Linked DNA regions of Oryza sativa Japonica Group. The protein of the gene in region 1 binds, or shares a complex with, the protein of each later gene. Links are inferred from orthologs where the notes say so. Each region holds a gene or a part of one and is shown on either strand. Other genes may lie near its edges.

Region 1 (3,720 bases):
CATTGAGCATAAACAACTCATACTATTCGAGAATGGAGATAAAGATTACACAAAACAATGGAAAAACATGGTACGCTATGAGGTACAGCATTCAGTAAACGAGGTGCTATGTCCAGCCTAAGGCTATCCTATTAAAAGGACATCATTATATCTTAATCAAACAAGAACAAACAGAAGTTCATTAGTCTCATAATCCCATCTCCCTCCCTGCCTTAGGCGCAGATGGTTCCATGGTGCCACTGCACCACTTATGTCCAAGGACACCCAGCCAAGCCTTAAGGTGTGCATGGATCTAAAAGCTAAGGCAATATGCTTTTCCAAGCAAGGTTAGCATTTGATAAAAGCATGCAAATCTTGCTTTTGATAGCACACTAACCCATAACTGATGGTAAAATCTTGCCCACAAGGAGAGTTGAGTATTAACTATTTTAAATTTCAAAAATGGATTAATATGATTTTTTAAAGCAACTTTCCTATAGAAAATTTTTGCAAAAAAGTATTGTGGGTGTGGAAAACGAATGGGTTTCTCTCTCAATCTCCAGAAATGAATGCAGCCTAAGTGAGCAGATGATCCATAAGAACTTCTAGTGTCCTTAACCCGTGTTACATACCCATGAAAACACGAGAGTTGTGTTTACATATGTTGTAAAAAAACTAGCATATCGCCCTCGCGTTACAACAGGATCTATATACTCTTTTCAAAGACCTCAATGGTGGTGGTGAGTGGTAAATCTGCCACCACCCACCACCACTACCATGTGGGTCCCCCAAACAGTGAGGTGGATGGACTTTTGTCCCTTCCTAACCTCAAGCCATCAAACAGGAAAAACTTCTTTTGAAGTGAGGTGAAAATGATGACAAATATATGACCCTAAGATTTTAGAATGAGGGTAGTTTTATTTTAATTTTTGAGGCTTTAGAGTGTACGGTGTGGTTTTCTTATTTAATTCCCATTGCAATGCACGGGCATTCAACTAGTTTTGATTAAAGAAAATTATCATTAACCTGTTATTACCATAATTTTCTGCATATATCTCTAAATTTCTGGATATATTTGTTACTGACATGTGGGTCCTCTAGCCTTACATTGTCCTTCCTTCTCACAAAAAAATAGAGTTGGTGGTGGGGGTGGTGGCAGACTCACCACCACCGCTACTCCCTTTTAAATGAGTACAGATATAGAGAAAAGACTTTATACTGTTAACAACTTAATGACTCAAATTGCATGTAACAGTTATACTACCTGCATGGCACCTGCACCAAGAACCAGTTGGCACGTCCTAGTGTTGAAGAGCTTCAATATTTCAACAACACGTTGGACCACCTCAAAAGATAATGATGGCAAGCATTTACTGATGTCAACATATTCCGATAACATCTTCAACAATATCAAACCACTGCAAGGGTGAACATGATTTAAATTGAGAATCTCACGTAATGAGAACACAAGTTAACAAAAAGACACAACAAATAAAACAAGGTTGACCACAAATCAATAGAGGGATGGTTTACGACTCTAGCTATCAAAATGTTGGGAAATAAAAGTGTCACGTTGCAACACTGCAAGGTGCGCAAGAAGAGAATGCAACTTGACCTGAACTATTAAGTAGAAAATATAGATGACTAACCAGTTTACCATATGATAGCCTACACCCCCATGCACAATGGTTTGCTGTGTTGATCTAGCATGCCCAACATTGTTTTCAGTCGAAGGAGAAGTAGATACTGCGTTGCCATTATCAGTATTATTTTCAGCTGAATTTACTGGTTCTTGACTTGTAACCCGATTTTCATGGAGCTTTGAGCTGTCATCAGTGCTAGGCATCTCCATGCCATTAGCAACGGAATAAGTGGATGATAGTGATAGAACAATTGCTTGGAACTCTTCTGGAACATCAATAGCAACCCATGTCTCTTGGTCAAGAACTGCCTTGATTTTTGCCATCTTCAAAAGAATATTAGAAGTTTTAGTGCACAAAAATACTATAAGTTGTGCATCAACTGCAGACAAAGTACATATCAGTCTGAAATCCAAATCACAGTTGTTTGCACAACCTTGAAATTTGTATTTATGATGATTGTTGAGTAGCAAAAAAAAGCAGCAGTGACACCTAATAATGTTAATTGTTTCACAAACTATAGTGTCAATTGTTGAGTAGTACTCCCTCCGTTTCACAATGTAAGTCATTCTAGCATTTCCCACATTCATATTGAAATTCCCACATTCATATTTTTCAATATGAATGTGGGAAATGCTAGAATGACTTACATTGTGAACCGGAGGAAGTACTTGTTTAAGCCTTACATTCTCCGTTTGCACTACCATTTTACTCAGGGTATTTGATGGTGAAATGCACTTTCCGCAAGTAATATTCTCCAATTAAAAAGCATAATAAAGGTACAGCATTATATTCAATTTGATGGATATCTATAACTGAGGGGTCAGGGATAAAGTTGAGTGATTTATATTCTTTCAAAATAGCACAATTATCCATTGAAGTTTGTGTACAATGATGCTTTGTAGTCTTATATTTAATATTATTCTCTCCTTATAGATGACATTTGAAGAATGGCCTTTTAATTTTTCATCATCAGTAAACTCATGCAAGTTGTTTACCATTGTAGAATTCAACAAATGCTGATAGTCAACAAATTTTATCACTCACCCGGACAGTATGCTGATAGTCAACAAATTGCTTTGATTGTTGTTGTACAATTCCACGGATGTTGTAACCCAACCTGCCTCCAATCTACAGGAATAAGAAGATACAATAAAGTCATAACTTGCATGTATGCAGTGATGAGCATAATGAGCGTTTGTGCATATTTTTCAAACAGGAAAAGAAATAACCTTTTCAGTGGCAGCTACAAATTCTTCTGTTACATTATAGATGATCAAGAACTCCTGAAGTCTTAATTTGGGGTGAAGGGCAGCACGAACACCAAGAAGTTTAGCCCATCGTCCATGGGCAGCATCACATGCAGCAAAAACAGCTTCTGTGTTTTCTCTCAAGACATCAGCTCTGTACCAAAGGCAAATATTAGAGAGCAATTGTGTTGTCAAATATAATTATGATATAAAAGAGGTAAAGCCTAGAATTTGACCCAATATTCTAATTTTGTATTGAATCTGTCCACAGCACTACCATGACATCAGCTAACATAACATAAAAAGCATATCTACTCCCTCCATCCCAAAATATAGCTACTTCTAGCATTCAATTTTTTGTCCCAAACTATAGCTACTTCTAGAGTACAAAAGGGTGTCCCAAAATATAGAAGTGAAAAACTTTAGAACTAGCTATATTTTGGGACAAAGGGAGGTTCTTTTAGGCAAACTGAGGTATTTTTCGCATTTATCAGAAAAAGGTGAAAAATAAAATCTAGCCATTCTTCAAGGTGGGACGAAATTACAGTGGTTCAGATTACAACAAAAGTCCATGTCAGGTACGATTTTGTAATTATTAATTTCAAATTTCAGAATAACCAGAAAAACAGAAAGTAACAAAAACTATATTCGGATGGATTCTATATATAACTTTTGTAGCTCCTAATTTTTAATTTTGGATCTATTCATAAAAATATTTTTATTCCAAACCTAAAAAAAAGTTCAAATATGTTTTTCCATAGAGTTTTGATGCGGATGTATATGATATCTAGCCCATGTGAATGCAAGATTTAATAACTAGTTGCACCTTAACTTACCGGACATTCTTTATT
Region 2 (3,720 bases), on another chromosome or scaffold:
AGATGGACTCTTGCTTCTCCCAGAAAGCATATGAAAATGCCCATCAAGTTTCTGAAAGAAATCTTGAAAACCTTCTTGTACCCAATCAATAACCAAATCTCTCAGTTTTACAAGTAACTCTGTATTGCCATCTATAAGATGATGAAATTCCTAGAAACAACATAGTAAAAAAAAAATGAGAACATTGGAATATATGCTCTTATGCAAGCATAGGCTTACTAGTAGTTTGTAAAAGAACTGCATGTTATTTGGACAATATTATGCCGCAGATTATCCACAATATATACCTGCAGGAGATCTATACATCCTTGCAATACTTTAACCTTGCTTGTTTCCATGGCAGTTTGCAGCTGTGACTCTTCTAACTTCCCATTTGATGTCGAGGGTGTTCTGGCGAGTACATCTGCTCACACATACACCAGACAAATTAGTTTTTTTCCTTGGAAATACTTTATTGTTTTCAAACCTATCTGTACTACAAGCTAAAAGCCCAAAAAAACTAAGTAGTTGCAGGAAAAAAACAAATTTAAATCATATCAATTAGTTCTGCACGAAACTTGCAAAACTAAAACAAATTGCGGTGGGAGGAGGGCAACCTGATATTTCACTTTGAAGATGAAGAAAGGCAGTTGCGATATGTTGTCTAATAATATCCCGAGTAGTCTGGCACAGAAAAGGCATTGGCACATGTGAAATCAATGTCAACTATCAAGATATATAAACAGTTCTGTTGACATGGAGAATACCCAAAATAAGCAATTGGGTTACAGAAGTATATTCAGTTTATCACTTGAGTAATGGAAAACAGGGGTCAATAAACTAACAGTACAACTATTACTTTCTACTACTAACAAAATACCCTCAGCTAGACATATATTGCCAAACAGCTTTTTGTTGATTTGTAAATTCGTAAAATAGAGCTTTCAGGATAAGATTATCATACTCCTCTAGCAAACCCGTGACAGAATAATCCTCAATCCTCAACACTGACGATTGCAAAAACAATGTGGGTAATTATGGATATCAACTAAGAAATGCATCCATTCACCAAAGCCAAACTTAGCCATGCAACCAGTTCACTTCTATCTGCTAGATGTTCTACACTTCTACCAAATGGCTACACAATATGACCTTTGTGGTTAAGTGTTAGCAGCTAGCAACACATCAGCCGGTTTAGAACCATGAATAGGTTGTTACAGGGTCAAGGTCAAACCTCCAGAGAAAAAGCTGGTAATGCAGCCTCAGGTATAACTTCATCAATGGCAGTGGCGTCCTCCCATAAGGATCCTGAGATCATAAAAAAGGAGCAGACTTAAATCAAAGGACATGCAACGATCTTACAACTTGCAGTAATATCGACAGTGAGGACTCCATAGGTAAACAACAAATTTTTATGTAATATACTAATTCAATAATTCAAAACCCAACAGTCCATTTATTCAAAAACTTAACAAGTCTTAATCCTCAACTTATTGTTCAGTCTACATATATTCAGTACAAAATAGAGATGGCACAGTAACATAGGTAAGTTCTTACGTAACATAGCCAATAGATATGTTGATGGAATTCTTTTCCTCAGATTCTCTCTGACCGTTTCATACCGGCTTCATGTAAAATAAGAAAAAATGTAAGACAATGTATATATATGATAAAATTCTCGTAGTAGAAATGCAAGTTAAAACAGGAAGCAAACAGGATAAACATGCTGAAGGTATCGAGGTATAATGTACTATGAGTTATTACTATCTCTGGTAACAAGTACTGAAAGGGAACCCACATTGCAACTTTAACCACTGTTTTCTTTTGCTATATTTATAAAACCTGACAAAATTATGATAGTATTAAAGTATACTTTTAGGCAAGCCTACACATGGTTTTTCATATTTCCAATCTAAATACAAGTGTTGATTCTCTAAATTTGACTGCATTTAAGTCCAAAAGTGCATGTATTCATATCCAGTCTCCAGAGGGGACACCACTTACTACTAACTTTAAGATTGTTTTCCCTTCTAGAAAACAAGAATCACTGCAGAAACACTTGTTATGTGACATTTCTAGCTGGTTTCTTCCAAAAAGATTTCATTCATATCAACTACCTCAGTTACTGGTTGTTCTTAATACCATGTGGAGATATGACCATTTATTAATGAGGGCAGAACTATCATGTAATTTTACGTGGTAGTGGTATTGTGGGAGCTAATCCTAAAACAACAACGAATTCGGATAGGACTTGGTTATTCATTGTTCAAAAACGGATGATGGTTTGTTTGCATAAGATATAAAATCAACTTACTTTGAGAACAAAGCCTGTGCAAGTTCAATGAGGCGCTTTTCTGAATCAGGAAATATTATGAGATAAGCACGGAATGTCTTTGAAATATCACCAATTGAAGCCTGAGAAAGTTATACAGGAGGGTATTAGATAATTTATTGGTAAGGAGGTTGGCAAAAGGATTGTAAATTGAGTCCTGCGAATAGGTCACACTTTATAGATTTTTCGTCAAAAATAAAATGGAAGTTGTTGAGTAGTTCTAACATTTCTTATATATATATATATATACCTGTGTGGGCTCCTTCTGGAAATTTAAGAGGCAATCTTCTAACTTCTCAAGTAGGTTTGATTTCAGGCTGTCCACCTGTTGATTTAAAAATTAAACATGATAAGATTTACAGAAAAACATAGGGAACTATATGCAAATAGAGTAAATCTATTAGCTATTTCATCAGGACAGCATAGCAATGTACTAGTTATTTGTGTTTATTGCTTGCCTGCTTCACAGAAAGTCATGATTATTTCCTGTTTTCGGGCATCGCCTCATAGTTCATTATAAAAACGATAAACAGAGGTTCAACATATCAATGCAGAGTCTTGTGACCAGCTGACAGTGTTATTGCGGAAGATCTATGAGTCAAGAAAATGATACGGAGCAGCTGAGAGTGCTATTGCTGTATAAGTACCACAGTTAATAAATATGAAGTTTAATGCTATAGTGGAAAATAAGTAACGGCGTTTGCATAAGAATTGTTATGGGTGATGGTCATTTTCATTGATTGATATCTGACTAACAGGTCATATTCACACATGTACCAAATAAAATAGATATAACAAAAACTCAGAATTAACCACTATAGATTATCAGCGTATGGTAGTTCTATTGTGTAGAGAATAGAAGATCTGTGCCCATGCACAAAAGTTAAAATAGGCATCACAATAGAAGAAAAAAACTTTATATGAAGAAAGGAGTTCAGGTGTTCCACTAGTTCTACAAGTTAGAAGGTTGGAGAATGAGAAGATGTATCAGGAGGATAAGTTTTGGAAGTTTTTTAAGCTAAGAGATGTTGAAATGTAGACATCCCATTAAGAGTACCACTAGCATGGATATTAAGAACAAGTTGAATCGTTGATCATTCCAGCATTATCTTGTGGTAGCGCTTGTTTATACTCCTTTTAAAAGAATGCAATAGCGGTAATGGCAGTGATCTTTCACCCCACCAACTATGCACTATATTTTTTGCTAGGAGTACTTGGAGGTCTTTGATATTACACATTAATATTATCACATGTTGTTACTTTCTTGTTTACTCTCTAAAATAAAAACTTAAAACTGAGAAATCTAAGATGACCTGCATATGCAGTATAGAAGATAACTTTTACAGGTGGAATTATGTAAATCTATAAGTGCTCCATTTAACAAAAAATTGACGGACCCTTGAGAAAAA

The links.
Region 2: vacuolar protein sorting-associated protein 54, chloroplastic (region 1) and vacuolar protein sorting-associated protein 51 homolog share a complex: the UniProt entries of both Arabidopsis thaliana proteins name them as parts of the golgi-associated retrograde protein (GARP) complex. The link is inferred for Oryza sativa Japonica Group from reciprocal best matches to the Arabidopsis thaliana genes VPS54 and AT4G02030.

The regions. Positions count from the first base shown.
Region 1 is NC_089038.1:7,614,620-7,618,339, reverse strand, and holds part of vacuolar protein sorting-associated protein 54, chloroplastic, read right to left. Parts: coding exon 3,706-3,720; intron 3,024-3,705; coding exon 2,852-3,023; intron 2,751-2,851; coding exon 2,667-2,750; intron 1,946-2,666; coding exon 1,629-1,945; intron 1,398-1,628; coding exon 1,244-1,397; intron 1-1,243. UniProt on the Arabidopsis thaliana protein: Acts as a component of the GARP complex that is involved in retrograde transport from early and late endosomes to the trans-Golgi network (TGN). The GARP complex facilitates tethering as well as SNARE complex assembly at the Golgi.
Region 2 is NC_089037.1:31,134,240-31,137,959, reverse strand, and holds part of vacuolar protein sorting-associated protein 51 homolog, read right to left. Parts: intron 2,637-3,720; coding exon 2,562-2,636; intron 2,395-2,561; coding exon 2,294-2,394; intron 1,605-2,293; coding exon 1,537-1,604; intron 1,288-1,536; coding exon 1,214-1,287; intron 664-1,213; coding exon 597-663; intron 404-596; coding exon 288-403; intron 151-287; coding exon 1-150. UniProt on the Arabidopsis thaliana protein: Acts as a component of the GARP complex that is involved in retrograde transport from early and late endosomes to the trans-Golgi network (TGN).